3 linked regions of the Elephas maximus indicus genome follow. The protein of the gene in region 2 interacts with the protein of the main gene of each other region in a pairwise test. Links are inferred from orthologs where the notes say so. Each region holds a gene or a part of one and is shown on either strand. Other genes may lie near its edges.

The links.
Region 1: the proteins of KIF2A (region 2) and LARP1B interact in binary tests that used the Homo sapiens proteins (3 or more experiments, as listed by UniProt). The two-hybrid records come from large-scale screens. The link is inferred for Elephas maximus indicus from reciprocal best matches to the Homo sapiens genes KIF2A and LARP1B.
Region 3: the proteins of KIF2A (region 2) and FAM13C interact in binary tests that used the Homo sapiens proteins (3 or more experiments, as listed by UniProt). The two-hybrid records come from large-scale screens. The link is inferred for Elephas maximus indicus from reciprocal best matches to the Homo sapiens genes KIF2A and FAM13C.

What each region holds. Positions count from the first base shown.
Region 1 is NC_064823.1:17,727,062-17,737,580, forward strand, and holds the start of LARP1B (la-related protein 1B), read right to left. Parts: upstream 4,500-10,519; 5' UTR 4,223-4,499; coding exon 3,733-4,222; intron 1-3,732.
Region 2 is NC_064820.1:66,849,796-66,860,885, reverse strand, and holds the start of KIF2A (kinesin-like protein KIF2A), read right to left. Parts: upstream 4,390-11,090; 5' UTR 4,143-4,389; coding exon 4,079-4,142; intron 1-4,078. UniProt on the Homo sapiens protein: Plus end-directed microtubule-dependent motor required for normal brain development. May regulate microtubule dynamics during axonal growth. Required for normal progression through mitosis. Required for normal congress of chromosomes at the metaphase plate.
Region 3 is NC_064834.1:28,816,018-28,826,934, reverse strand, and holds the start of FAM13C (protein FAM13C), read right to left. Parts: upstream 4,767-10,917; 5' UTR 4,670-4,766; coding exon 4,608-4,669; intron 1-4,607.

The sequences.
Region 1 (10,519 bases), on a different chromosome or scaffold from region 2:
GGTGCTGGCTCTAGAGCAAGGCTTTTCTCTGTCAGCTCTGGAGGAAGGTCGCTGTTTCTTCTGAGCTGCTCCCGGGCAATTTTCACGTGGCTTGGCACCTCTCTTCCTCCTTCTTTGCTTCTTTCTGCTTGCTTGTTTAATCTTTTTTATATCTCAAAAGAGACTGACTCAAGACACACCCTACACTAATCTTGCCTATTAACATATTAAAGACAACCCATTCACAAATGGGATTATAACCACAGATATAGAGGTTAGAATTTACGACATATATTTTTTGGGGGGGTACAACTCAATTCATAACACTGCCCAAGAGAAAGTCACACACGCGTATAAGAGGCATGTATAAAAATCTTCACTGGCTTAATGTTTAGTAAAATGTAAACTACCAAGATGATGGTCAACATTGCTAAATTAATGATGTATAGCTGTATATATGGACCGCTTCTCAGAAATTTCTTAAAGAAGTTTGGATTAAAATGGATCAGCCAATACTTTGACTGGAAAAATGCACAATGACATTTTATATTCTAAGCACATAAACAAAACATTTTATTTGGAAGTAACTGCATAGAAAGAGGTCTGAAAGGATATCCAGTAAACTGGTAACATGAGTATCACTTTTTTTAAAGGGGACATTGAGTTCTATGCTTTTACCAAAAATGTTATTTCATTAGGGTAATAACAGTAAGCTTATTTGAGGTTTTTGGAAGCAGGTGTTGGAACATTAAGGGTTGATGAAGATCAACATGGAGTCAGAAGACTCTCTAAGAATGGCAAAAGCAATGCTTCCCTGCACATGCTTTCATAAGAGAGGGGGCCCTGGTGGCACAGTGGTTAAGTGCTCAGCTGCTAACCAAAAGGCTGGCAGTTCAAATCCACCTGCCACTGCTGAGAAACCCTATGGGGCTGTTTTACTCTGTTCTACAGGGTCACTATGAGTTGGAATCAAGTCGATGGCACCGGATTTTGGTTTCAGGGGTGAAAGGAATCAAATTACTTTACAAAACTGATTTTTAGTAAGCAAAACGCAGCCATGGCTACAGGTAAGTGGTTAATGAATCCCATACTCAGATTTCAGTAAAGATTTCCAAATAAATAAAACTAATTTCAACAAGTTAGGACACAGATTGTGAGAAAGTTCCTTCTGGTCTCACTAAATTCAAGACAGCAGTGGCACTATTCTAGACTTCTGGGGTGGCTTTGGGTTGAAGAGGGCCTTATCCCAAAGCTATCTTATCAGGATCACCAGAGAGTATAATATACCGGCCAGGAGAACCATCCTAAAAGTAGAAAGACTCTCACAACAACTGGAGAAACTAAAATCTACCTCACTTAGAACCGCAAATTTTCATGTAGAGAAAATTTAGAATTTGTGTCCTGAAATATATCCCAAATTCCTATATTATTTATATATCTGGCAATAAACTTTCTGGCAAAATTTTATAGGTGGAATTGTTTTGCCTCACTAAGTGGCAGTATATCCACGTTTGGCAGAAAAGGCCTGGTTTAAGTCTGTTATCCCAGTATAATCAACGGTGCCCCTTTTCTCTCTCAAGAGCATCCTGGTTTGTAAGATAATTATATAGGCACCCTACCTTCTGGTGTGCACCTACTCTGAACCTGAAGGGCCTCTGTTTCTATTTCATTATTCTTGGAGTTGCAAGTTTTCTTAGGAAAATACGAAGCCAGGGCACCAAGGTTAAAGATGGCACTCTGGTATTCAGAAGTGGAAGACATGAGTCTCACCATTTCATTCATTTACAAGGTCCAGAAGTCTTGCCAAAAGTCAACTAGCTACTTAGTAACAACACCTGGACTAGAATCCAAGTCTCTCAGAACAATCCATTTCTATACCATAATCTAAGTTAACTAAGTTTTTCAATTGCAAATATAAATCATGGTTGAACAGTGTAGTCAGTCATGGGGAGAGACTATAAAAGTTACTACATTACTCCTGAATGGTATTCCTGAAGGCAAAGAAAGGAGCCCAAGGAGTGAAGAGCAACCTACAGCCATCAGTAAAACTGACATTCCCAGGAACACCACCACACATCAAGCATCACCTTGTTCTTAATCTCCAATGAATATTATTGTTGTTAGTTGCTGGGGAATTGACTTCGATTCTTGGTGACCCTGTGTGTGCAGAGTAGAAATGCAACACAGGATTTTCAAGGCTGTGACTTTTCGGAAGCAGTACGGCACGCGTTTTCCCTGAGGCTCTTAACCTGTTTCTGACACCCAGGGACTCCCTCCAATGGGATTAAGACACCCCTTCTGATGAAAGTACCAGTAAATTAATTAACTAACCTGGTAAGATATTTTTAACAAGATCACTTGCAATTAAAGTTCCCTAGGCTTTGATTTTATAATCAACACAAAAGAGTTCATTTTTTGGTAGTCATGGAATATAACGCATAACTGTATATAAGTCTAGAAGTAGGCAGGTGAAAGAGCCAAAAAAAAAAAAAAAATGATTTCACTAAAGCTTTCTTTCTCTTTGCTAAATTTTATGGAGATTTTCCTTAACGGTGTTCTCTTCAGTCAGTAAAAGAGGTAAACAAATAGCTCTAGGTAAGAGGAAGAAATGACAATATTAAATTCAGGGCAAATTTTTAAGTACTTTTTTCTGCAAGTGCCAAAATTTATCAAGAAGCAAAAGCTAAGGAACTCAATTAACTCAACACTTATTTCACTCTATTGCAGAGTTCCTCTGAAGAAACGGTAACATATCAGCAACATAACGTGTGTCTTTAATAATCACCGTTCATTTTATATCACTATCATTTGATTCTCACAACCCTGTTTTTTTATAACACGCTCAGATTTTCCCTATATTCTGCTGTTAACCTTTAATTTTAAGAAAAAGTGAAATAAACAGCTGTAATTTCTATATAAAAAGTTCAATTAATTCACTATACCCTAAGAAATCAAAACTGGAAAATGCGTTTTACCTTTGTTTATTTAGCATTTCCATTTTTAATTGCTTAATAGTTTTAAAAACGGCAGCTGCTACAACGAAAATAAAGCACCAGGGGCCATAATGCATTGGCCAGCATTCCAAGCGCAGTGGCTGCTCTCCACAGTTAAAGGGAAGGAGAGCTAACTCAACGTTAAAGGACTACCATTTACCTAATGCGCAATCCACTCACGTGTCAACTATTTCCATTTTTTCCCACAACAATCATAACTCAAGGCACCGAAATAGCAACATTTTAATATTAATAATTCTTTGAAAGCCTTGAGATTTTCAGCTCTTCAATTATTTTACAGTAAAATACCAGGACCCCGCTTCCTCCTGCTCTTGCAAATGAAGCCCCTTGCTCCGCCTTGGTTCAGCCGGTTTTTAAACGTTCACAGGACCTTTTACCCCCGGATGAACTGCAAGACTATCGGCCTAAGTTCGCTACTTTCCCGAGCTGCTAACACGTGGAGGCAAAGCACGATCGAGGCCGCGCCAGCCTCGCAGCGATGCCACTTTAACCCCGCCGCGCTCCCACCAGTCAAGGAGAACCTGAGGTCCCACCTCTTCCTGCCGCTCCCTTCCTAGATGTCCATTTATGTAAATAAGCAGAGTGAATGACACCTTGGAACGAAATACCTCCGACTGACAGGGAGACGAGGCCTGCCCCTCCCCCCGCCCAGCGCCCAATTCGCCACCACGCGCCAGCAAGTCCCACGAGTTGTCCGTTCCCACACCCTCCCGGTTCCCACCCTACGGGAGCCACAGACCTGCCTCCAGGGTTTCCAGCGGGGGCGGCGGCGGCTCCGTCCCAGTGGGGGACAGGTGCGGGGGAGGCTTTTTGGTCCAGGGGTTCTCCTTAGGCGGCGGCGGCGGCGGCGGCTTCTCCTCAGGCCCGACCACCGCCTCCTCCTCCCGGGCGTCCTCGGCCGGCAGCTCCCGCAGCGGCTGCTCCCCGCCGAAGGGGCCCCCGGACCCGCGCGCCTTGTGCGCCAGGTGCAGCGCCAGCGGCCTCACGGGCACGGCCGCCTGGGGCACACTGTGTCCCAGCACCGGCGCCGGCGACGGCTCTCCACGCGCCCCAGCACTGCTGGCGGCCACGGCCCTCTCCTCCCTCGCCGCCTCTTTGCCCTCCCGTTCGGGCGCGGGCGGCTGCTCGGCCTGCCTGCTCGCCGCGGCCGACAGCGACTCCCTCTCAGCAGCCGCTGCCGACAGCTCCTCCCGAGGGTGCGCGACGGGCACCGGGGCGCGAGCTGACATCGTCCCCTTGCCCCAGCCGCCCCAGCCGGGGGGGCCCTGGGGCCAGGGAGCCCGGCTGCCCGTTCCTCCGCCCGGGCACCGACCGGCTCCGGCCTGGGGCAGAGAATCCGAGAGCCCGGCCGCCGTCGCCACCGCCGCCCGCGTCGCCCGAGGCCGTGCAGCGCCCGGCGTGCCGCCCCTCCCCGCGCCGAACGGAGCGCTAACTGCCCGCCGGCCCAGCCCGCCTCGGCGGCGCACGCCCGGAGCCCGCCAACACGCGCCGGGCGCCGCAGCCGGGAGCCGCGAGCCCTCACCTGGCGCGGGCAGCGGCGGACGAGCAGCGAGCCGGGGCCGACAGAGCTCCACCGGAGCGAGGGAGGCGCGCGCCCCGGGAGCCGGTAACTGCTCGCGGAGGCGGGGACATGGGGGGCGGTCCGAGAGGACGGGGCGGGGGCGGGGCCTGCCGGAGGAGCGTGACGTGGCTACTCACCGGCTCCTGCCCTCAACCAGGCCGCGGCGGCTGGCAGACTGACGAGCCAGCCGGTGCCGCCGGCCTCAGGGCCCGCCCTACCCCGGCGGCCCGCCGTAGGGGAGGCCGGGCGAACAGAGCGAGTCCCCGGCTCGCGGATGACGGCCGCCGGCCTGCGGGCGCAGGGGCGGGGCGCGCACCGGGCCTCTGTGACTCGCCTCCGGCTCGCGCCCGCTGGGGTGGCTTCGGGCGAGGGGCGGGGCAGGCTGCGCAGGTGGTGCCAGGCGGGCCCGGCCGCGGCGGGCAGGGGCAGTCGCTTTACACTTAGTCCCTGGAGCCGAATCGAACTTCGGTAGAACTGTCTCTGCCACAGGCCCGGGGCGGCTCCCCAGTGACCGGGGTGCCCGTCCCCCTGACCCAGGTGCCCTGGCAGGATGAAAGTTGCCCCCTGGCACCGCGACCACCTGTAGCCTTGAGCCACGTACAAAATGAGAACGCTGTTATCTGTAGGTAACTGTATATGAAACCTTTGCCTGGGCAGTTGGTTTAGTTCACTTCCCCACCCCTGTTTCCACCCGCTAATTGAAGTATCATTAAAGTGCTCTTGAGTATAACAAATAGTTAATATTTCTTTGGTCTCTCTCTTTTTTTTTTTAACCTGTTCCTTTAATTCGGGGAGATAACATTTGATTACAAATTAAACCCATTCCAAGTTGTTGTTTTTTTTTTTTTTTTCCTGGAATAGATTTGCATTAAAATAGTGCAAATATCTTTGGGGGGATCTGATAGGAGCTTTCTACTTGGCACTCATTCACTTATTGGTTTCATGTGCATGTATTGTGAGTTAGTGTTGCTGTGCAAGGTTGCTGAGAGTGAGTTCACAGGTGAAAATATTTTTTCGCTTAAAAGTCCCCCCCCTCCCACTCCACCTCTGCCAAAAATAGGTATTCGCAATTTGTGTGGACTTGGAACTAGTCCAACCCAGCTTCACTTAAAACTGTCAGGCCAGGCAAATAATTAGTACAGGACCACCCTCCTGTGGTCCAGCTCCCACTCATAGTGACCCTATGGGACAGGGTAGAACCGCCTCATGGAGTTTCCAAGGAGTACCTGGTGGATTCGAATTGCAGACCTTTTGGTTAGCAGCCATCGCACTTAACCACTATGCCACCAGGGTTTCTAGCCTAGCTCCAGTCACATTAAACTCGAGATTAATTTTATTAACTCAAAAGCTGTACTAGGCATAAATTATTTTCTTCAGGCTAACAAACTAGTCATGCATTAAAACAGCTCTAAACAAGGTTTCTCATCTGTATCAATAATCTCTAATTTACCTGACCCTAGCCAACCTCTGAGGACCCTGTGGCCCAGTGGTTAAGTGCTTGGCTGCTAGCTGACAGGATGGCAGTTTGAACCCACCAGCTGCTACCTGAGTGAAAGATGTGGCAGTCCGCTTCCCTAAAGATTTACAGCCTTGGGAACCCTATGGGGCAGTTTTACCTTCTCCTGTAGGGCCACTATGAGTTGGAATCAACTCGATACCAACGGGTTTGGTTTCGAACCAACCTCCTTTCCTATTAAGTGAGGATTGTATTTACACATGTATTCCCAGAGAGGCACCATCTTTGCTCTCTCTTTGGTGAAGCTTTGTATTTTTAACTACCTCTTCCTGTTATAATCACCTCTTTGGAGACATGCCAGATAATACTTGACTCTCCCCTTTAGGAAAGCTTGTCAACAGATTCACTTAGGATGATTCAGAGAACACATTCTATTTTCCTGTAACCTATTTAAATACATGTTGATTAAAGACTGATTTAGTTGAGCAAAAGATTATGTGGAATGGTTCTCCAAAGTTTGATTTGTGTGGGCTACTCTAACCATGGTTGGTTGTTTTGTTCAGTGTTTTTAAGTGAAAAGTCATACAGGGACCTTCTCAAGTAAGGGTGCTTATTGAAGGAACACAGGGGAACTTTCTTGGAAATGGATTTTGGTTGCAGGGAGAGAAGAGCTGGAATTCAAAAGGGCTCTAGAGAACTCAACAGTAGGTGTTGGGGATCTTCGCTGTAATGCAATGCCACTAACGTCAATCAGCTACATCGCTAAGTTTGCAACTTGCTCCTCTTTTAAATTTATACTAAAAACTCCTAGTTGCATATAACTATCTCTTGCAAACGACTTCATGTATCTTCTATTAGCACCTCTATATCTACTCTCCACCCTTCTGCTCTTTTGCCAGGGAGGACTGACCTGTTCACAGGGCACCACCTTCTCTAGTATCTGGATGGGTTCAGGCAATGGGAGGTACAATAGATTGGAAGCCAGAGAAGAGTGAGGTCATAGGCCTTATTGCCCCAGTTGGGTCACCATGGGTTGGCTGCAGTGCCTTCTCTGTACAGTTAAAAAAAAAAAAACCCAGTGCCGTCAAGTCAATTCCTACTCATAGCGACCCTATAGGACAGAGTAGAACTGCCCCACAGAGTTTCCAAGGAGCACCTGGAGGATTTGAACTGCCAGCCTCTTGGTTAGCAGCAGTAGCGCTTAACCACTATGCCACCAGAGTTTCCAAACCCACTCCAAATCCCTCTTTTTGCCTCTTCAGGCCTAGGGGTAATAACCTCTAGCCAGCCTTTTGGGTACTGCATTATCTTTTGTTGGCTTCCCTGACTCTTGCCTACACTTCTGTAAATGGTGCTTTTAACAACTCTCCTCAAATTGCCCATTTTGAGCTCTCCACCTGTTTTTTGCAGGGACCCTGACTGACGCAGTATGGCATTGTTGAATCTTCATTGCATTACTTATTCTGCCTCTGCTGATAATTGCCAAATTCTTCCTCTGCTTCTTAGTTCAAATTCATAGAAGACAGACAGTTTAGCTTATTTTCTCTAACCACATCACACAAATCATTAACCAACCTATGGATTATTTGCCCTTGGGTAGGGTCCCACCTGGCCCAGAGGAACAAGTTATTTGATTCAAAACATTGACACAAAGCAGTGGAGGCTGGGGATTGGTGAGAGGGGGAGTGCCAGTTTTCCGTAGACGTGTTAGAGGAGCTAACCTAACCAGGTTCTTCCCCTTTTTCCATCTCTTTAGGAAAGACACCAACCATTTAAGTTCTGAAGATAACATGAGATAATATATAATATGTGTAAAATGCCTATCAAAGCCCCTAACTCAATTATGTTCGTTTTTAGCTATTTTTATTGCTTTTTAACCAAGATGTTGTTGTTAGTTGCTGTCTGGTTGATTTTCGACTCACAGCAAGCCCATGTGACAGAGCAGAGCTGCCCCATAGGGTTTCCAAGGCTGTAATCTTCATGGAAGCAGACTGCCACATCTTTCTCCCACGGAGCAACTGGCGGGTTCAAACTGCCGACCTTTTGGTTAGCAGCTGTAGCTCACTATAGCTCTTAGCTACTGGGCCACCAAGGCTCCAATTTAACCAGGATAAAAAAAACACCAAACCCGTTACCATAGAGTAGATTCCAACTCATAGTGGCTCTATAAGGGGAGATAAGTTTTCCCCTAATGTTAAAGGAGCTTGGGGTTTTTAAGGCTTGAGGGGAGATAACTGAATCTGTAGTGCACTTAAGCGAGGTGTGGCAAGAGGAGTATAGCTATCTTGTAATAAACAAAGCTTGGCTTTTTTTTTTTTGGCCAGAGATGAGATTGGAGAGATGGCCTAATGCAGATCGCGAAGGGGCTCTTGGGTTATGACGGAGTTTGAATTTTATTCTCAGAGCAATGGGAAATCACTGAGAGTTTTTAAAATATTGCTGCAATATGGAGAGGGAAGGGGAAGTGGCGAGTGCTGTTAAACTATTGTTGTTGTTACTATACTTACATGGCAATAAAGTGGAAATTTACAAATTGTTCAAGATTATAATATGTTAGTATGTTGCTAGTACAGTCTTGAAGTGAGGGTGCCCTGTCTCCTGAACTTGAACATCCTCCCACAGTGGTGATGGATGTATCGGTCCATCATAGATTAAGTACATAAGCATGTAGACACGTACCAACTCTGCTCTGCATGGCTCTGGATTCTGTGATGTCCAAATCTGGTTTCCCATCAAGACTTGCCTTCAGAGAAGGAATGTGTGGATCACTGAAGATAAGAGTCTAATCCATTTAATGGTTATATGATTCATCAAAAAATAATAACTTTTGTTTGAGATTTAAATCATTTATTTATGTTCTTGAAGTCAAATCCATTCTTTTATATTTTTACTTTTTTTTATGAATGTTTTCAAACATAGAAGTAGAGAGAAAAATATAATTAACTCCCATTTACTCATCATCCAACTTCAACAATTAGCCATATTTTGGCATTTTTGTTTCATTTATATACACCTTCGTATTAGTTTCCTATTGCCACCCTAACAAATTTCTACAAACTTAGTGGCTTTAAACAACACACATATATTATCTTACAGTTCTGTAGGTTAGAAGTCCAACACAGGTCTCATTGGGCAAAAATCAAAATGTTAGTAGGGCCGTGTTCCTTTAAGGAGACTCTGGGGAAGAATCCATTTCCTTGCCTTTTCCAGCTTCTAGAGGCTGCCCATTCTCCTTGGCTTGTGGTCCCCTTTTTCCATCTTCAAAGCCAGCAATGGCAAGTTGAGTCCTCACATAGCATCCCTCTGACCACCTCTTCTGTAGTCAGATCTCCCTCTGCTTCTCCCTTCTGCCTCCCTCTTCCACTTTTGAGGACTCATGTGTTTAGATTGGCCTACCTGGATAATCCAGGATAATCACCCCATCTCAAGGTGCTAAACTTAATCACATCTGCAAAATCCCGAGGGTGCGCGACGGGCACTGGGGCGTAACATATTCACAGGTTTCTAGAACTAGAACTTGGACATCTTTACCAGCTGCCATCAAGTCAGTTCTGACTCATGGCAGCCACGTGTGTGGCAGAGTAGAACTGTGTTCTATAAGGTTTTCAGTGGTTGATTGTTTTAAAGTAGGTCACCAGGTCTTTCTGGCCTGGACTTGAACTGCCAACCTTTCAGTTAGCAGCTGAACATGTTAACCGTTTGAACCACCCAGGGGCTCCTGGATATCCTTAACCCAGTGCCGTTGAGTCAATTCCGACTCATAGCAACCCGATATCTTTAGGGGACTGTTACTCTGCCTAACACAACTTCCAAACACATATACACACTTTTTTTTTTCTGGAATATTTTAAAGTAAATTTAGATATCATGTAATTTTTGCTTTTTAGTACTTTAGTATGTATCTCTGTCACTTCACCTCTCCCTCTCCAGCCTGGCTTCTCCCTCTATCACTCAGCCAAATTCAGAAAATTCATCCTTAAAATTCTGTTCCCCTAGAACCACTCTTTTTACCAAATCTACATCAGTCAACATTCTCCAGAGAAAGAGGACCAATAAGAAATATATATATGAAGAGAGAGATTGATTGATTTTAAGGTATTGGTTCACTGGTTTGTGGGACCTGGCAAGTCTGAAATCCATAGGGCAGGTTGCCAGGCAGGATTTCTATGTTGCAGTCTTGCGGCAGAGTTCCTCCCTTTTGGGAAACCTCAATTTTTGCTCTAAAGACCTCCAACTGATTAGATAAGGCCTACCCACATTATGGAGCATATTCTGCTTAAGTCAACTGATTATAAATGCTAATAACATCTAAATACCTTTATAGCAACATCTAAACTAGCGTGTGACCAAACATTATGTAAAGTACTTAATACAGTACCATCATACTCCCAAATGTACAAATTACAGGTAGTCTCCATCACTGTCGTAAATTGGTTCTGATGTAAGTCAAATATCTCATTTTTTTTAAGTTTTCATTATTATTGCCTTTATTATCAGTATCTTAATAAA
Region 2 (11,090 bases):
TGAATGCCTGCCTCTTGGTCCATGTATAGGTTCTGCATGAGCAAAATTAAGTGTTGTGGAATTCCCATATGAGAATTAGGCCATTTAAAACCTTTTCTAAAGGTTGCCTGCCCTAAGCTCCAAAATTCCCAAATAACAAAAATTCTTTGAAATTTTTCAATTTCCCATGGATTTCAGGGCTAATCAAAAACACTTTTTCACCACCGTTTAATTAAGAAGCAGCAATATTTTCTTTTCACAGTCCTACAAATTTATTCTTGGTTTTGTGATCTTCTAGTAACTATACGGAAAGCCTGGTAGCGTAGTGGCTAAGACCTACGGCTGCTAACCAAAAGGTCGGCATTTCAAATCCACCTGGCGCTCCTTGGAAACTGTATGGGGCAGTTCTAGTTCTACTCTGTCCCATAGGGTTGCTATAAGTCGGAACTGACTCAACAGCAACAGATTTGGTTTTTTGGTTTTAGTGACTATACTGTATCACGTTCTCCCAGGAATCATTCCAATCGGGCTCTGTGACACTGCTCTCTGGTGGCTTTCCCAAATAAGAAGTTAATCTCCTATACCTTTATCTGGCTGTAGAAATCAGTATGTTTCTGAAGTAACAGAATTCTCTCTTTACCGCTACAGTTCTTAACAGTATAGATTCTCTGCTATGCAAGACATACATGGCTGTCATTAACAAGCTGTATAAACCTAGACAATCCACTTATTTGAGACTAAGTTTCTACCTTTGTAAAACTGACAACTAGATTATCTCCAAGAATCCTTCTAGGTTAGACATCCTGATTTCCTTCAGTTCCTATATATCAACATTGTGACTAAATGACCCCCAAAATAATCCCGTCTTGGCTGCAGCTTCGAAATATTCAACATTTCTTATCCCTCCCCCATTTACCAAAACGTAGTCACAGACGCTGTACAACCAGTAAGAAATGCTTTAACAGTGCAGTTTTTAAAATCTGCCAATAAGACTAAGCTACACAACAGTTAATACTGTAGTTTTTAGAGTCGTTGGACTTTAAGGAATTGAATCATAAAGTTAAAAGACAAATGCAAGAGAATAAATTACACATAAGTGTCCATTTCCAGAAACCAATCCAATTTCATACTAGATTATCATCTATGGCTGGGAACAATCTCAGTAGTCCAAGCCTAACTCCTGTCATCTCTAACCTTAGAATACCAGAAAACTCAAGTTAGCCTTAGCAGATCACTCAGTTTCAATGGAATCTGGGGATCCTGAACTAAGGGGCCAGTGTAGGCAGTGGGGGGTCATAGTAGAATAGTTGCAGTACAGATGAGCCTAGATGGAACTTTCACCTCCCAGTAAGATTTCGTCTGAGTGGTTAATTAAAATAATGTTGAAAACCAAAAATCCAATAATGGATGATTTACTCAAAAACAAATGCAAAGAACCCTGCCAGGCACATAAGGGGAATACAGGGAACTTAACAGTCTATTAGCCTGCCATCCCCCCACCATTGCATTCTTCATACCACCCCTCCCCTAGTATAGTTTGAAAGCATAATATTAAGAGAAATGTACCTAAATACTAATAGTCAAGGAAATATGATGTCTAGTGAATGGTACAAAGTGACTAAGGAAGTCAGAGGCAAGCTGGCCATCTGGTTTTAGCACAGTGAAGACTTGCTGGGATTAGTTTTTGAGCAGGGTCTTGAAAGATAGTATAAATCATCTTAAGTTTACCTGTTTGCCCTTGGAACATGCCCTAACATATAAGCATCACTGATGAGAAAAGCCTGGTCTGAAAAAAGGACAAGGATTACCACTAACAAGGTGCAGAACATCAAGTAACTAGTTAATAGCCATCTGAAGCAGCCCTTCTTCATTTATGTGATTTCTATTGTCTCAGGCATTAGTGCTCATCAAACAGTAAAGTTTATTTTAGTTACAATAACCACTAGTGTTTTACTCAACACAGATCTGCTATACAAGGGGGAGGAAGCAAAAGTGTCTTTAAAGGGAAAAAGGAAAAGCTTGAGGGAGGTCTCTGATATATCAGTTTCTACTATGAAACACCATCATTAAATGCAAATGATTATTCCTTTCAAATTCTCAACTTATCTTTTGTCTTCCACCAACTCCATCATGCACCCAAGGCCCATAAATATGTACAGTATCACAAGACTACTAGGTTAGGATAATACACATTGTAAAGATTTCCATTTTTTACCATTATTTCTTACGGGAAAATTGCTTTTGAAATGTGAGTTTAGGTTACTAACACATATATAAGAACACAATACTCTTGTATGTCTGAGAATTTCTGGTACAGGCTGAATAGGGCAAAGAATATTATAAGGCTCTAGGAATTGACTTGACAGCAATTAACAAGAGGCTAGAACTCCAGAAGAACCAATACAGCTTCAAGCTCAATACATTTTAAAAAAAAATGTCGACTCAGAAAAATGCCTTGAAAACATACAAACCTCTCAAATGTCAAATAAATGCTACTTTTTCCAATAACAGATTTTACAGTTAACACTCATAATGAAAGGTTTATAAGAAGGTTAAAAAGATACATTTTATTGCACCCAAAGTTTTGAAAATTATATGTAAATACTACTTTTGCTGGTATACAGCGAAATCACATTCACCTAAAAAGGAAATGACACAGCGCTGTTCCAATAAAGTTAATCTGAGGAGAAAAAAAAATAAAGAAACCCCAACCCAAGTAAAGGAGACATCTCTTTCCCACTAGTGTTACCATTAACTTCTAAAGCTCAATGGGTATAATCTATCTTTTTACATACAGGATAATGATGCTTCCAGTTGCTAACACAAACGACCTGAAGTACAAAGAAGGGGGAAAAAATCCATCACCTATATTGGGTCTTCCAGTATATCACACAGATAAGTCAATCTAGCTTCTCATAACTTGGTCGAACTTCGTAGAAACCCAGACGATGCGGATGTGATACCAAGATTGCTACAGACTAGGCTAAGGGACAGAAAGTAAGCCATAAATTAAAGAAATTGGTTTAGCGAGGCAGAGTCAGTAAAGAACATCACACACCTCTAGTTCCTTCAATATTCACACCGAAAGAAAAGAATTTTACTTCTCTCCTTTACGACATAGGTTGTTTCCAAGTCTGGCGGCGTGCCTCACTCCCCACCCAAAGTTACTGAAATAAACATTTTCCCCAAGAGGAATCTACAGGAAGACACACAAGCCTTTTTTTTTTTTTTTTTTTTTTAAACATGTCTTCACCGCCCCTCACACTTCCCTCTTACCTCTCCCGGGGGTGTGAAAATATCAACATCCGGTCGCCCGCCCCCACCCTCTGGGCAATGTCTCGCACTGACGGCGCTCATCTCCTCTCCTTCCCTTTCAGTCTCATCATCTTTGAAAAGCTTATCGACTATTTCTTCCCATTGCTCCCCCATCCTTATTCATGGCTGAGCATGACATTCTCTACATCGTTCTCCCAAAAAAGGGGCTAGCAAAAATGAAGAAACAAGCTCCAGAAACGAGAGCCGGGGGAGAGGCCTGACAACCACACAGCAGTTTAAACCAGCGGAATCGGTCTTCCCCCCCATCTCAGCCTCTGAAGCAGAAGTCGGCTCTGCACACGCTGAAATCACTGCTCTGCATCCTCCCCACCCCCAACGTTCAAAGAGACCAGTAAAAATGAAGAGGCCGGGAGGAAACGCGCGGCAGGGTCAGCCCTCACGAAGCCCACTCCCTTCAGGGCTGCAGCCGCCGGAGAGGATGGCGATCGCAGGCGGAGCGAGGGGCCGTCCTCCCGGGCACCGCGCCCGCCCGAAGCCCCCAGAGGCGCAGGCCGCGACACCCGGGCCCCTTGCCCGCCCGCCGTCCCCCGCGGCCCAGCCCCCCGCAGCCCTCCTCAAGGCCCCTCCCCGCCCCCAGCACTACAGCGGCGCCCCGGGCGGACCCCACGCCGGCCTCACCCGCACACAAGCCACACACAAAAGCGCCACGGCCGCCGCCTTCCCGCCCCCACAGCCCACGGAGCAATCAATGAGGCGGCCGGCGCCCGCGTCCCCTCCGTGTACACCGGAACGCGGGGCTGGCCAGGCCCGCGACGCGGCTCACCATCGCTCCGTTTGATCTCCACGTAAATCCCGATCTGGATCTTGCCGAAGTTGGACGCTGCCATCACCTCATCTGGAGCAGCGGCTGCGGGCCGAGGGAGGGGGATCGGAGAGCGGAAAAGGCAGGGAGGGGGCGGGGTACGTGTGGGAGGGGGAGCGGTTGCCCGCGGCCGCGCTGGCCCGGGCGACAGCGTGAACGCAAGCTGGGGCCGCGAGGAGCAGCGGCGGGGCAGGCGGAAGCGCCCGGCCTGCAGGCCGGCGGGAGGACGCGCACACCGGGCCGTCGGGGTGAAGCAAGGGACGGGGCCGTGAGGCGGCGCCGCGGAGAGTAGGAGGGGCCGCCCCTCCCGCCCAGCAGCCGACGCTGGGGAGGCGGGGCGCCGCGCGCCTGCGCAGAGCGCACCTCCGGCGTCTCTTCCTCCTAGACTCCCTTTTCTCCGCTGTCTCGAGGCGGCCCCGCCCAGCTCTGCTGCGGGCGGGCGGCGGCCCGGGCTTGCCTGGGTCGGGGAGCGGAGTGCGCGCGGCCCGGCCCCCCACAAGTCTGCGTCGAGTTTGATTTCAGCGCGCGGCCTAAAAGAGGCGGGATCCTCCGAGCCGGTGCTTTTCTTTACGCCCTGGCTTTTTTTTTTTTTTTTCTGGCTTTTATGAGTTGAAGCTGTTGCTGCAAAGGATTGAGGGCCTTGAGGTTTGAGGGTTTTCCGGGTGGAGTGCGGGGCTGAGCGATGCAAATTTGGGACTGGCCAGTGACGGCATGAGTTTGGTGTTTCATCTGAAAGTGTCACCCCACATATAGAGGTGGCTGACCCAGGTAATCCTCCCAAGGCACACCTGGTTCAGGTTTCCCATCCAGTTTTGAAAGAAACGGAACAGCTTTATGGTCAGCCACTCTATAAGTCAGGGAATGAAGATCTGCCTCTTCCTGACCTTGCCTCTTAGCTCATCGCCGCTTAAAAAGAAGCCCTGCATTGGCGCGGCCTTGACTTCCGTTTATGGTGCATCAGATGCTAGTATCCTGGCCCTACTATTGGGCTCAAGGCTTATTTGTCCTGGCCTGTAAAGCCAACTACAATGACTCAAGGATGGAGGTCAGATACATCAGCTTGACTAAGGGCTGTGCATTTTCTGCAGAGTCACTTGACTAGTTTGACCACATCAGCAATGTGGCGAGCAAGACTCTCCTTCCTGGCAGGGATCCTGGAAACCATGTTTCCAGCACCGGGTACAAACCTCCAAACCTGTGGCTCTTGCTTCTAGTATTGGGACTTGATGTTGAGGAAACATTTTTCGTGCCCCACTTTCTCTAGTATTTGTTAATCTCGTTGTAACTAAAAACACTGTTTCAAAATTTAAAAATTGGAAACCGGATACATATACATACATGCACAGTCCTAGAGTTTTCAACTAATATAAGTAATGGAGTCCAGTAGACCCTAACAAAAAGCATTAAAAGACTCGAGCTCACCTGTAATTTAAACATATTGGAGGTATACTTGTCAAAAGAAGAAAACCTCTTAAATCCGTTGTAAAGTGGATTTGGGCCATTTAATTTATATGAAAAACACTGGTTAGACCATGTGGAAAACAACGTCTGCTTTTACATTACTTGGAAACTCCATGGGGCAGTTCTACTCTGTCCTATAGGGTCGCTATGAGTCGGAATTGACTCGACGGCACTGGGTTGGGTTTTTTACATTCCAGAAATTACTGTACATTTCACTTCAAGACCTCTGTTTCAGAATAGAATTTGACCAAATCAGGGCTCAGTTTTTTTTTCTTGAAAATCTAAAGAGTTTTAGCAACTGAGTTGGTGTCTAATAGAGCCTGTTCTCTAATGTCTCTATGACTAATGTATAAAGCATCTATTTATTTGCTTGAAAATTCTTTAAAGAATCCAAAGACATTGAGCTATAAAGCTATAAATTTAAAATTATTCCATAACATATTTTATACACGGTTACATACCTTGCACCCTGTGGGTTATGAGACAATCTTTAATCAGTATACAAAGGTATTTTGTATATACATCATCCTGTTCCATGAACATGTGTGAGACATACAATTTGCCTAATGTACAAAACACAAAAACCTTTCCAAGTCATACCCAAAAGACTTATGCTATTTGGTATGCCCCAGCATCTATATTTATAAACTTTGCATCATGGGTTTAGTATTCAAGTGGGCCACTGAATAGCAGCCATAAATGAATGCAGTGTGACTACATTTCCACCAACAATAACGGATCAAGGATTCTGACTCTGGGTCAAGCATTAGCAAGATACACAACCCTAACTAGAACAGTGCCTGGCACATAGTAGGCACTCAACAAATGTTGAATGAATTAACTTATTAAACTGTTCTGTGTCTCTGTTACATGTTTGATCAACCTGAGATAATAAATTCCATTCTTCCAACTGCACAAAGTTTTTTTTTAATTTATTTATTGTGCTTTAAGTGAAAATTTACAAAGCAAGTGAGTCTCTCATACAAAAAGTTACACACACCTTGCTATGTACTCCTAGTTGCTCTCTCCCTAATGAGACAGCACATCCTCCTCTCTACCGTGTATTCCCCATGTTCATTCATCAGCTCCTGTCCTGCTCTTCCTTCTCATCTCACCTCCAGACAGGAGTTGCCTATGTAGTCTCATGTGTCTACTTGAGCCAGGAAGCTCACTCCTCACCAGTATCATTCATTATCGTATAGTCTAGTCCAATCCCTGTCTGAAGAGTTGGCTTCAGGAATGGTTCCAGTCTTGGGCTAACAAAAAGTCCAGGACCATGACCTCCAGGGTCCCTCTAGTTTCAGTCAGACCATTAAGTCTGGTCTTTTTACGAGAATTTGAGATCTGCATCCCACTGTTATCCTGGTCCTGATTCTCTGTTGTGTTTCCTGTCAGGGAAGTGATCGGTGGTAGCTGGACACCATCTAGTTCTGGTCTCAGGCTGATGGGGTCTCTGGTTTATGTGGCCCTTTCTGTCTCTTGGGTTTATCTTTACCATAAGTCTTTGGTGTTCTTCATTCTCCTTTGCTCCAGGTAGGTTGAGACCGATGGATGCATCTTAGATGGATGCCTGCTAACGTTTAAGACCCCAGACGCCTGTTATCAAAGTGGGTGCAGAAAGTTCTCTGAATACATTTTGCTATGCCAATTGACCTAGATGTCCCCTGAAACCATGATCCTCAGACCCCCACCCCTGCTACTCTGGCATTCGAAGCGTTCAGTTGTATTCAGGAAACTGCTTTGCTTTTGGTTTGGTCCAGTTTTGCTGACCTCTCCTGTATTGTGTGTTGTCTTTCCCTTCACCTAAAATAGTTCTTGAATAGTTCTTGTCAACTATGTAATTAGTGAATACCCCTTTCCCTCCTGCCTCACCCTCATAACCATCAAAGAATATTTTCTTCTGTGTTTAAACTTTTTCTAGAGTTCTTATAATACTGGTCTCACACAATATTTGTCCTTTTGCAGCTGACTATTTTCACTCAGTATAATGCCTTCCAGATTCCTCCATGTTATGAGATATTTCATGGATTCATTGTTGTTCTTAATCGTTGTGTAGTATTCTATTATGTGAATACACCATAATTTATTTATCCATTCATCCATTGATGGGTACCTTGGTTGCTTCCATCTTTTTGCTATTGTAAACAGTGTTGCAATGAACATGGGTGCCAACTGCACAAAGTTTTGGGGAAGGTCAAATGAAATAATAAAAGGTACTTGGAAATTTATAAAGTTTAATACAAAGTAAAACTATCTCATTAAAAAAAAAGTTTAGTTCTCTTTTGTAATCCTCAAATCATTAGTTAGGATTTTGTATCCAGTGATATAAAACTAAACACATTGATTTGGCTCTGACCCTCATCACCTCATATCAAAAGGATAGCAAGAACTCTACAGTTCGGGTTGTATTCTTTTACCTGCTCTAGTCTACCCTAACTTTAACTGACAGAATGTTCTTGCTCAAAAACCATTTCCATCACCCATCTTACTAAGAGTGGCTGATGTTGGTTTATTTTATGAATTCTGAGTTTATAATCCATTTCAAAAATTTTTAATTATTGGAATTCCTTATTATGCCTTGTTGTTCATTGTTGTTGTTTTGCTTCTCTGCATTGGATTATTAGTACACAAACCCTAGGGGTTACTCCAAGGAAGAGGCCATTAAGCTAGTAACTGAGATTTGAGGCCAGAGCCAGCACTCACCTTAAGGGGTTACCTGTTCCTTGTGGAAGAACAGAGATACAATTTAGCTCCAGTTCTAGCTCAGATTATATGTATTTGTATTCTAATTTGAAGCTTTTCCATTCAATTTTTTTTATCTATCCTGGATTACTTCCACAAAGTTTGTGGGTCTGGGATCATGTGGGAGAAATAGGCACGGTTGGCGGAAACTTTTTTTCCCTCTACTATTCGCTTTCTGCTCTGGACTTTTTTTTAGAGACTTTTTGGTTGTCAGAGATTCCAATTCCCGTAAATTTATTCAAATTTTAATTCTAATTAAATTGGTGTAATCTCTCTATGATGTACCTCAGGCTTTAAACAAATACATTAACCCTGGGATGTATATATCCCAATTATACTCTATCTCTAAACTGTCCCTTCTTTTCTTCTCCTTTGCATTCCATTCTACCTCCTGCGAACATGTTCAGGCTCCCTTCTCCAGAAAAAAATCTCTTGGTCTTCCTCTTACTATTTAAATTCCATTCTATTTTTTGCTTTCCTTTCCTTTCCTTGCCACATTCTCAGATGAGTGCTCTAAATTCCCACTGCCTTGATTTTCCACCACCCATTCACTTCTTAACTCCTAAATCTGGATTCAATCCTCTACTGCCTTATATTTTTAAAAGTCAAATAATTACTTTCTAATTACCACACCCAGTGGACATTCTAGCATCTTTATTTGCCTTGAATTCTTTGCAGAACGGCCTACTACTCTCCCCCAAAGAGTGCTTGCCCATTTCTGCTTCTCAGTTTTGCTCAGTGTGGCACGTCTTGCCCCAGCGACTAGAATGATTTGTCCTCCTCTTTTCTTCTCTACCTATTTAAACGCTTCGCACCTAGCAAGGAACATCTAAAGTCTCTCTTTATGGGGCTTTCTCCACCAATCCAGCCTACCATAACCATTCTATCTAGTGATCCTTACCTAACCATGCTCACCAGAAGAACCTAACAGGGTTTTACTTTTTTTTTTTAAACAGATATAGAGGTGCAAGCTCTACCCAGGCCTAACAACAAAACAAAACAAAAACACCAGTTGCTGTCCAGTCAATTCTGACTCAAGGTGACCTCATGTGTTTCAGAGTAGAACTGCACTCTGTAGAATTTTCAATGGCTGTCACCTTTCAGAAGCAGATTGCCAAGGCTTTCTTTCAAGGTGCTTCTGGATGGTTTGAACCACCAACCTTTCAGTTAGTAATCAAGTACTTAACCATTTGCACTACCCAGGGACTCCCTACCTTAGGCCTACTGGTTTAGAATCTCAAGAGGTGGGGCTTAGGGTAGTCTGTTTTTGAAAAACTCATCAGGAGAGGGGACAGAGTTATGGATACTTCTTAGACATAACCAAATACCTCACGGAATTAGCTTTCTGGGGTTGAAGGAATGTCTGGGTTTGAAGGACTATGTAACCATAGTCTCGTAGGACATCTCAGTCAATTGGCATAATATAGTTCATAAAGTTATGTTCTACATCTTAGTTTAGTGAGTAATGTCTGAGGTCTTAAAAGCTTTCGAGCGGCCATCTAAGATACAATTATTGGCCTACTCACCCAGAGCAAAAAAAGAAAGAAGTAAACCAAAGACTCAAAGAAGAAACTAGTCTACAGGATAAGTAGTTTACACAAACCACGGCTTAATCTACCCTGAGTCCAGAAGAACTAGAGGATGCCCTGCTAGCACTACCAGTCATTCTAATCAGAGCCACAAGAGATGGACCCTAGTAAAATGGAAGGCAAATGTGGACCAGAACCTCAAATTTCTAAAAAACAAAAACAAAACCATACTTACTGGACTGATGGAGACTGGAAAACTTCCCGAGGCAATTGCTCCGAAATACCCTTCAGACCTTGATTTGAAACTAACCTCTAATGTCATCTTGTAGTTAAATAACAAACTGACTCAAAAAATAATATCACCCTTAAGTATGGTGCACCTTTAAAAAATCACCTATATCAGACCAAGGATCAACAATTTCTTAAAACAAAGATGAGACCGTAAGGGGACAGGAAACTAGATTAATGGAAACAGAACAACCAGAACGGAAATAACAAGAATGTTCATGTGTTGTGAAGAATGTAAGCAGTATCACTGAACAACTTACGTAGAAATTGTTGAACGGGAACCAGAACCTAAACCTAAACCTAAAACACAATAAACTATTATGGAAAAAAAAAAAATCGTCAGGAGATTCTGAGGTGTATGTGCACCTAGTTGAGAACTATTAATTACCCCTGAATTCCCACAATACAGTATTTTCTACACATTTGCCACTTTGGGGCTGGGCACTAAACAGACATTGATTGATTGATTGTTTTCCTAGTCCAACTTCTTTATTATGATTCTTTTACTTGCACTTTTTGATAGGGCATAGGATTGTCTTAATCGTAATCTATTGATGGAGAGCTAATGTACAAGGACCTTAAAGTCCATATTGGATTTAGATCTATATAGAAATATCAAACGATACAATGTCACATTTAATTATGATCTACATTGTGACGTTCCTAATATTTGTACTTGTTAATGTAATGTTTGCTTTAATTTTAATTTGCATGACTAATTCCTCTCAACTATAAGAAATCTAGAGATTTCCCTTATACCAGAGTTTCAAAAATATGATGAATTTAAACTCATAAATAACAGATGTCTTTTCACCATTTGTAGTGGTGTATTTTTTTATCCAAACTAAAAGCAATTTACGTATTCCTTACAATAATTCTTATTAATTCAGGAGCTTGGAAAGCTGTGTTGTGAAGTTTTCATAGAGCATCAGTCGTATAATACAAAATGAGAG
Region 3 (10,917 bases), on a different chromosome or scaffold from region 2:
GTAAGGCTAAAGAATTGCCAGGATTCTAAGGCGTAAAACAGTGAAATCTGTGTTACCACCCAAAACCCAGAAAAAAACATCAAACCCACTGCCATCGAGTCGATTCTGGCTCATAGCGACCCCACAGGACAGAGTAGAACTGCCCCATAGTGCTTCCAAGGCTGTAATCTTTATGGAAGAAGAATGCCACATCTTTCTCCCACAAACTCAGAAAAACAGAAACAAAATATTCTCTTCGGTCTGTCTTCCCAAAAGCTCATGCATACAGTGCTCATAAACTGAGAACAACCTTGCTTGCTCAAAGCACTTACTGATGAAGATCAAATACTGTAGCCTTCAGTATGGATTACACCTCAACATAGAGAAAACAAAAATCCTCACAACTGGACCAATAAACAACATCATGGTAAATGGAGAAAAGATTGAAGTTGTCAAGGATTTCATTTTACTTGGATTCCAATCAACACCCATGGAAGTAGAAGTCAGGAAATCAAAAGACGAATTGCATTAGGCAAATCTGCTGCAAAAGACCTCTTTTCAAGTGTTGAAAAGCAAACATGTCACCTTGAGGAATAAGGTGCTCCTGACTCATGGCACTGGGTTTTTGGGTTTGACCTAAGCCAAGGTGTTTTCAATCGCCTCATATGCATGTGAAAGCTGGGCAATGAATAAGGAAGACCAAAGAAGAATTGACCCCTTTGAATTGTGGTGTTGGCGAAGGGTATTGAATATTTACTATACCATGGACTGCCAAAAGAACGAACAAATCTGTCTGGGAAGAAGTACAACCAGAATGGTCCTTAAAGGCAAGGATGGGGGGACTGACTGTGTTTTACATACTTTGGACATGTTGTCAGGAGGTATCAGTCCCTGTAGGAGGACTTCTTGCTTGATAAAGTACTGGGTCAGTGGAAAAGAAGAAGACCCTCAATGAGATGGATTGACAGTGGCTGCAACAATGGGCTCAAGCATAACAATAATCGTGAGCATGGCGAAGGACTAGGCAGTGTTTCGTTTTGTGGTACATAGGGTCGCTGTGAGTCAAAACTGACTCGATGGCACCTAACAACAACACTTGTTTCTTATAATGATGACAGGGAAAGAAGTGCCTGTGAGAAGTTCTCTTTTCCAAGTTGGGGTAAGTAAGAAGAAAGGCCTCGGGTTTCTTATTAGATAAAATGCAGTTTATCAGTGCTGACAGGGGAATTCTATTCACCCTGTGATATCATATTCCCTGAGGGTACCATTGTAGTAGTGCTGCCTCACATGGGGCTTCTCTGAGCATGGCCCCAGCACCACCTGTATTAGCACAACCTGGAGTGCCTGTTTAAAATAGCATGCTCCTGGCTGGTGGCCAGTGGTTAGGAGTTCAGGCTGCTAATCAAAAGGTCGGCAGTTCCAATCCACCAACCGCTCCTTGGAGACCCTATGGGCAGTTGTACTCTGTCCTAAAGGGTCGCTATGAGTCAGAATCGACTGGATGGCAATGGGTTTGGTTTTTTTTTTTTGGTCCCCTAACACTCCCACCCCCTAGTTCAACACTCTGAGGGTGGGGCCCAGGAATGTGAGTTTTTAAAGCAGAATACCCCCCATATGTAATTAATGTGCCTCTAATATTCCAGTGAGGACATTGGTGGTTCAGTGGTAGAATTCTCACCTTCCACGCAGAAGTCCCCACTTCCAAAAATTAGCCAATGAAAATTCTATGGATAACAATGATCCAATCTGCAACAGATCATGAAGATGGCAGAGGACTGAGCAGTATTTACTTCCGTTGTGCATGTGGTCACCCTGAGTGGGGGGCTGGGGGTGAACTGACTCAAGGGCTGTTAACGACAACAACAAACGTTTCCCAGTCCCAGACCCGTGCTGGACTAACTCCAACACAACCATGCATTCGGGGTTTCCACTTCGAAGAAAGCCTGGGAAACTATTTTTCACAAGTCCCCCTCCCCCACCCCTGGTTGATTTTGATGACCAGTTGGGTTTGGAACCCCTGCTTCCGATGATGACAAGTCAGAATTCCTTTTGTACCAGGCTTCATTTCAAATAGCAGGTTTGCCAAGATGACCTAGGAAATGACCCTGGAAAAATAACGGATGAAAGGGTGCTTTGCATACAGAAGAAAAGGTCAAGACCATTTTGATCTTGAAAGAATTTGGGTAGAAAAAGAAATTGTATTGGCCCAGAGCTGCAGACCATGACTGGGAAAAACCCAGAAGTGAATAAAAACTGTCCTGAATCCCTTCCAATTCTCCTTCCCTCTGACCCTTATAAGACCCCCAGCTGGCCAAAGCAGAACTCTGTTAGGTTAGACTATCTGAAGAATAATTTATGGTAAAGCATTAATGACAACTTGAATCCACTTCCAGGGGGCACATACTTTTTAATTTCTATTTTAATAAGGGTCACCCCTGAGGCCTTATTCCAAAAGAAATCATCTCTAGGTGGAATTTCAGGCACTGAAGAAAATCAGCGGGTGAATTTTAGGAGTGGGGGTGGGGAAATTTTCTTGTATCCAAAACATACACCAGAGGAAAGTGCTTCCAAAGTGTCTACCAAGGCCTCATCCAAACATGTCCTGAGCACCTGTGATGTCTGCATCTCAATACAGGGCACTCTTGCACTGCCTGTCATGGGGACATGTCCAGAGAGCCAAGAAAAAAGAGTTCATATGACCCGGGTGAGAAGAAAATGCTGTATTTGACAATGACTAGTTTTAAGTGACACTGGTCCGTGCTGTTTTACACGTACACAGCTTTTGGAATGTTTTAAATATTCTCTTTAAATTTTGTAAATTAGCCAGATGGTTTTCCAGTTGTCACTCAGTGCTTTTTAAAATAAATCACTGTCACTTTTCTGAAAGTAACCACATGATCTTATGCAATCAGAACTCCCTGGGGAGTGTCCAGAGACAAGGTACCAGACTCTCTCCAGCATTTAACTATAAAAAAAATTTTTTTTTTTTAAATGGCTCAAGTGCGACCTAGAACTAAGTGTCTCCGTTTTGAAGCTGTTATGCCCATGGCTGACTAAGGGGATTCAGCTGCATAGGGTTTCAGAGAATCAGGCCCAGAAAGCACTTGTGGCTTGTATGCACAGCAACGGGAGGAGGTCAGCACCTGTGCACCGGAACCAGGAAATCAAGCCTTCATCTTTGGCCTGCATACCTTGGCAAGAAGCATCCTTTCCCCTCTCTCCAGCTTTGAGAAGAGCAAAGTTGCTGAACAGGTTACCCAGCAATCTCATTAGCAGGATGCAGGTCCCCATGAAAATGTCATATTACCTCTTCTAAAGTCAAGCCTGCTTTTTAAAAAGCGACTCCACTTCAGTGAGTTCAAAGCTGGACACATCCAACCAGAGAAACAAAAGAAAGTGGGAAACTAGAGACACTGTGAAGCGCCATGGGATCTTAGCCCTCCATCACCAAGGCATCGTGACAGTGCAGGACTTGACACTCAAATTGTAAATTCTTACTTCCCTTCCATGGAACTTTAGCATCTAAGTTGGGCATTCTATATCAAACATAGCATTTATATATATACATATATATATATATATATATACACATACACATAATGTGGAAACCCTGGTGGCCTAGTGGTTAAGTGCTACGGCTGCTAACCAAAGGGTCGGCAGTTCGAATCCGCCAGGCGTTATACGTAATGTAGCTGAGGGCATAAACCTACACAGCCCTTTTTCCTGAAAAGCTGTGTAGAGTGACTTCCACAGAAAGGTCCCAGAAGTAAACACCCTGAGTTAGAGAAAGATTGCTAGATGTAATACATGCATTGCATATGTATATGTATATACATACACTGTATATATATTACATATACTAGCCAAAATACTATTACTTTTTAATGTGTATTATGGTATTCATAAAACATATTAAGAAGGATGATGAGAATTAAAACCACGAACTATAAATATCGATTAAAACACACTGCCTGTTGGCCTTGAGTAAAACATTACCCTCCTTCATTCCACACAGAAATGGTGTTAGTTGCCCTAATCACCAGTTTTTATCACAGGGCCAAATGAATCATTACTCCCACAGTCAGATCTTTGAGGTCAGAAGACAAAAATGACAAAGGACATGCAAGAAAAGTTTACTCTGCTGTTTCTCAAAAAATCTGAAGACAGAAGAGGATGAAGACAAGTTTAGCCTGTTTATCACACGCTTGCATTCAGCTCAAGTAATTTCACACCCATTCTCTATTTGCTGTAAATGTATACAGTGTGCACTCCATGAAAACTGACACCAGTGTTGGCAAAATACAACCAAGCTTCCTTTCTGACATGGCAAATAGATTTTAAAAAACAAAAAAAATCTTAGCTCCAAGAACACATATCTTGGAGCATTCAGCTCCCGCAAGCATTCAGTTTGTTTTAATATCTCTCCCGCAGCTGCTAAAAGGTTGCTTTCAACATGTAAAGATTTCTGGGCCCATCAATCAGCACGTCTCGCAGTCTTCACAGCCCCAGATAACAGGAGACAATGCATCTAATAGGAAGAGCAGCTGGGGACCGTGGAGGGTACCTTCACGATAGTTGCTTCCACCAAAAGGCATGCAAGTCTTATTTTAATGGCAAGAATCACTTACTCTGTTACAATGGTGCTGCCGAAGGAATTATCCTGAAGGCTGAAACAGAAACAAGAAAACATCAGCCAAGTCTGGCCGGGGAGCCGTCTCCCTGATCGCTCTCCGGGAGTTAGAGCACACACACAAACATGGCATTGCAAGGCAAGCCTCAGGGCTCGCCCGGCGCGCTCGCTCTACCTTGGGCTGCTGTCTGCACATGCTCGTAACGACACCCCCAGCAGGGGCCCAGCGGCACGGGCGAACCACAAAGCCCGGCAGCCCGCGAGGCTGCGGGACTGAGCCGGGCGGGGCGCGGCGGCGGGGCGGAACCGGTACCCGGGATCCCAGCACGGAGCGCTGGAGAGTTGCCCCGCGACCCTAGCCTCGCCGGTCCCGGCGCCGCGTTTAATCCAGGCCTTTCGCCCCCCGCGGTTGGAAATAGCAATGCCCAACTCTTTCTGCCCAGGAGACTTGCTGTCCTCCAGTCGTCTCCTACCAATTTTCCTGAGCTACCCACCCACCCCTAGGGATGGAGGCTGGCACAGATTCAGCAGCGTTCAGAGGAAGCCAGGAGGGAACGAAAGGAGGGAGGGAGACATTGCTAGTGTGTTTTGTTGTACTGTGAGTGTGCGTGTGTGTGTGCGCGCGTGCGCGTGTGTGTGTGTTTGGCGAGGAAAAAGAAGAGCCGCTTTTTTTTTTTTTTTTTTTTTAACGAAGGACTTTCTGCATCACACACGATCTGTCCTCGCTGTTATTTCAGTTCCTAACAGGAAGCGCCCAGCCCCGGACTACAAAGCTGTGAATGAGCCCACGCAGGGCGAGTGGAGGAATTATTACCTGGTGACTAAGGGACAGTGCAAGGAGTGGGGTTTGGTGCTCCCAGGAGCAGCCTGCTGGAGCTCAACTCACAGGCTTCTTCACAATGGACAGGGAGATCACAAACATTTCCCCTTTGAATAAAGTCAGCGCTGTTGGGGGAGGGGAAGATTACCAGCCCTCTCCTCCTGCATTCCCCTGGAGATATGTGTCCTTCCCTCCTTCCATTGTTCATTTGTTCTGCCATGTTGACCTTGACATGGAATAAACAGTCATCAGTGACAGATGCTTATTTTAAATTTTGAATTAAAAGCCCCATTCCCCTCCCCCCTTTTTTTAATCTCTCCACTCCCACAAATAACTGAGATGACAGTGAGGTACATAATAATTTTTTATGTATAAATTTTCATTTTCAGATAATTAGAAAAATTACCCAAAACTGGGACATGAGGGAGAGGAACGTTAGCCGTCAGTGTCACTGGAAGAGACTGTTCAGCAGGTCCACCTGAGGGCTACTTAATTCTCTAGGAGAATATGGCTGACTTTACTATTCACTATTGATTTTTTTTAGATCCCAGACACTGAGGTTACATGTTAACTGGCAAATTTTGTCTGATCTGTCCAGAAGAAAAGATAACCTCAGAGTTTATGGTTTTATTGCACTGTAAGACATTGAGCAATGTTGCATCCAACCTAACAATCTAACACTAACATTCTCTCTAAGCGCCTTTAAACACTCAGATTCTCAGCATGCTCTTGGAACCAGCTTTACCATTCCACAGGTTTCCTCTTGAATAATTGATCTCTGACACGTGGCCTAGATTTGTATGAGAGTCACATTCTTTGATAAACCAAAATCAAGTTTTCAGAGAAAAACAGGTTTCATTAAGGTTCTTTGCAATTTCACTTTCTTCTCTACAAATATTTTTAAATTAAGCTGAATAAAAGCCTACTGTGGTCTTAGACTTGAACTCTACGGGCTGAAATAAATTTGGAGATATCCAGCCTTTGGAGGTTTACCTGTGTTTCATTGACTACACAAAGGTATTCGATTGTGTGGATCATAACAAGTTACAGATAATATTTTGGAGGATGGGCATTCCAGAATACTTAATTGTACTCCTGCCAAACCTATACATAGATCAAGATGCGGTCATTCCAACAGAGTAGGGAGATACTGCACGGTTTAAAATCAGAAAAGGTGAGTGTTAGGACTGTATCATCACACCATACTTATTCAACAGGTATGATGAGCAAATTGTCCGAGAAGCTAGACTAATATGAAGAAGAATACAGCATCAGGATTGGAGGAAGACTCATTAACCTGTGCTATGCAGATGACCTGTGTTGTTCAGTATTAAACAACCCCCCAAACCCAGGAAGCATCAAAAGAAGATGGAATGAATACACAGAGTCACTATACCAAAAAGAATTGCTTGACATTCAACCATCTCAGGAGGTAAAACAAATGATCAGGAACCCATGGTACTAAAGAAAGAAGTCCAAGCTGCACTGAAGGCATTGGCAAAAAAACAAGGCTTCGGAAATTGACAGAATACCAGTTGAGATGTTTCAACAAATGGATGCAGTGCTGGAATTGCTCAATCCTATTCTATGCCAAGAAATTTGGAAGGCAGTTACCTGGCCAACCGACTGGAAGAGATCTACATTTATGCTTATTCCCAAGAAAGGCGATCTGACTAAATGCAGAAATTATCAAACAATATCATTAATATCACATGCAAGAAAAATTTTGCTGAAGATCATTCAAAAGCAGCTGCAGCAGTATATTGACAGGGAACTGCCAGAAATTCAGGCTGGATTCAGAAGAGGACATGAAACCAAGGATATCATTGCTGATGTCAGATGGATCCTGGCTTAAAGCAGAGAATACCAGAATGATGTTTACCTGTGTTTTATTGACTATGCTAAGGCATTCAACTGTGTGGACGTAACAAATTATGGATAACATTGCAGAGAATGGGAATTTCGAAACACTTAATTGTGCTCATGAGGAATCTGTACATGGGTCAAGAGGCAGTCATTCTAACAGAACAAGGGGATACTGCATGGTTTAAAGTCAGGAAAGGTGTGCGTCAGGGTTGTATCCTTTTACCATACATATTCAATCTGTATGCTGAGCAAATAATCCGAGAAGCTGGACTATATGAAGAAGAATGGTACATCAGGATTGGAGGAAGACTCATTAACAACCTGCATTATGCAGATGACACAACTTTGTTTGCCGAAAGTGAAGAGATTTTGAAGCACTTACTGATGAAGATCAAAGAACACAACCTTCAGTATGGATTACACCTCAACATAAAAAAAAAGAAAGAAAGAAAACAAAAATCCTCACAACTGGACCAATAAGTAACATCATGATAAACAGAGAAAAGATTGAGGTTGTCAAGAATTTCATTTTACTTGGATCCACAATCATCGCCCATGGAAGCAGCAGTCAAGAAATCAAAAGACAAATTGCATTAGGCAAATCCGCTGCAAAAGACCTCTTTAATAAAAGTACTGAAAAGCAAAGACATCACCTTGAGGACTAAGGTGAGCCCGAACCAAGCCAAGGTGTTTTCAATTTCCTCGTATGCATGCGAAAGCTGGACAATGAATAAGGAAGACTGAAGAAGAATTGATGACTTTGAATCATGGTGTTGGTGAAGAATATTGAGTATACTGTGCACTGCCAAAAGAATAAACAAATCTGTCTTGGAAGAAGTACAACCAGGATGCTCCTTAGAAGCAAGGGCGGAGAGACTACATCTCACATGCTTTGGACATGTTATCAGGAGGGATCATTCGCTGTAGAAGGATATCATGCTTGGTAAAATAGGGGGCCAGCAAAAAAGAGGAAGACCCTCAATGAGAAGGATTGACACAGTGGCTGCAACCATGGGCTCAAGCATAGCAACAATTGTGATGATGGTGCAGGACAGGGCAGTGTTCTGTTGTGCATAGGGTCACTATGAGTCAGAACTTACTCAACAGTACCTAGGAACAACAACAATGCAGATAACACAACCTTGCTTTCTAAAAGTGAAGACAACATGAAGCACTTACTGATGAAGATCAAAGACTACACCCTTCAGTATGAATTGCACCTCAACACAAAGCAAAAATCCTCACAACTGGACCAATAAGCAGCGTCATGGATAAATGGAGAAAATATTGATGTTGTCAAGGATTTCATTTTACTTGGATCCATAATCAATGTCCATGGTAGCAGCAATCAAGAAACCAAATGATGTATTGCATTGGGCAAATCTGCTGCAAAAGACCTCTTTAAAGTGTTAAAAAGCAAAGATGTCGCTTTGAGGACTAAGGTGCCTCTGACCCAAGCCATGATGTTTTCAATAGTCTCATTTGCATGCGAAAGCTGAACAATGAAAAAGGAATACCAAAGAGAAGAACTGATGCGTTTGAATCATGGTGTTGACAAAGAATGTTGAATGGACTGCCAAAAGAAAGAACCGCTCCTTCTTGGATGAAGTACAGCCAGAATGCTCCTTAGAAGCAAGGATGCCAAGACTTGTCTTTGGACATGTGATCAGGAGAGACCAATCCCTGAAGAAATACAGCATGCTGGGTAAAGTAGAGGGTCATCGAGGAAGAGAAAGAGCCTCAAATGAGATGGAGTGACACAGTGGTTGCAACAATGGACTCAAACACACCTACTGTGGTGAGGATGGTGCTGGGGCAGCATTTCGTTCTATTATACATGCCATCACCATGAGTAGGAGCTGACTCAAGAGCACCGAACAACAACAACATATATATAAACCACCTACTATCTCACAGGAGCTACTTTGTGGAGCGTCAAGACTTGGCTTCTTCAGTACAAGCGAGAATTTAGTACTGAATCATCACAAATTGAGGTCTACTCTTTCTATTTTATTGAGATTGATGAAGGTAAGTCTACATTCAGCTTTTTTAGTTCTACAGATCCAAAGTTTGCCAGTTTCCGGACCCCACTATGGTACTGTTTTGAAAAGTTCTTAAGCAGAGAAAAGGAAACCCTGGCGGCGTAGTGGCTAAGTGCTACAGCTGCTAACCAAAATTTCAGCAGTTCGAATCCACCAGGTGCTCCTTGGAAACTCTGTGGGGCAGTTCTACTCTGTCTTATAGGGTCACTATGAGTCGGAATCAACTCAACGGCAATGGGTTTTGGATGCAGAAAAAAATTATACTGTCTCATTTATACTTTCTCAGTGGTCCATTCGGAATGGAAACGTACATTGTTTTTAACTTTGAAACAGGACTTAGCTGTATGAACTAATATGGACCCTTTGAGAATAAAATTAAATAACAAATGCATTTAATAAATGCATTTAATAAATTCATAGGAAATAAATAAGAATTCTCAAAAACTTATGAATGGATCAAAATTAGGTTTCAGGTAGTACCCACGTACAATCAAAACAAATTGTTGATACAGCTGATTATGGCTACAAAGCAAAGATGTTCCAGAAACAAACAAAAAAAAAGCCCTGAAATGTGGCAGTATGTAAGGATATCAACCATTTTAATTTTTACTTCTCAGTCATTTCTTATGACATTATTTGTTCACATCTTAAATCAGGTTTAGAAATTATCTTTTCAAGTGTCTTTTTTTTTATGTGTTGTATTATGCAACATGGAATAGGACAATAATGATGGATAACCATACAACATCTGGTTATTTTGAAAAGCCTCAGTTAGACTAAACAGCAGTTCAAGGAGAGTTCAAAAAGAGAGGCAGAAAAACTAACATTTGAGTTTTTGAAAAGAGATTTCTAGACCAGTGTTTCCCTAAGTGTCCTCGGTGGAATTCTAGTCTCTTAGGTGGTCCAGAAAAGAAAAAAAAGTTACATGGCCAAAAATAAAATGTATAAATTTGAAAGTTATAAATTTACAATGTGTGTTAGGCTCTGAGGGGTTCAGTAGCAACAAAAAGGTTTCATCATTTTTAATCAAGTATTTCTCAAACTCATTGAAGACTGAAATAGTTGGTGTTGTTGTTTTAATTATATTATCTATTAATGCCATGTTAAATTTTGAGAAAAGAGCTCCTGAAAATATAGGGGAAAATGCAAAATAGATGAACTGGTATAATTTACTTATTCATTGAACAAATGCAACATACCTGTCAATGTTCCGTAGTGATAAAGAAAACATAGGCCTTGCCACCATGATGCTTTTAGAGTAATTGTTGTTATTATGTGCTGTTGAGTAGGTCCCGACTAATAGCCATCCTATGCACAACAGAATGAAACACTGCTTGGTCCTGCGCCATCTGCACAATCGCTGCTATGCTTGAGTCCATCGTTGCAGTCACTGTGTCAATCCATCTCATTGAGGTCCTTTTCTTCAATGACCCTCTACCAAGCATGCTGTCCTTCTCCAAGGACTTGTCCCGTCTGATAACATGTCCCAAGTATGTGAGAGGAAGTATCGCCATCCTTGCTTCTAAGGAGCATTCTGGCTGTACTTCTTCCAGCGCAGAGTGGTTCTTTCCTTTGCCAAC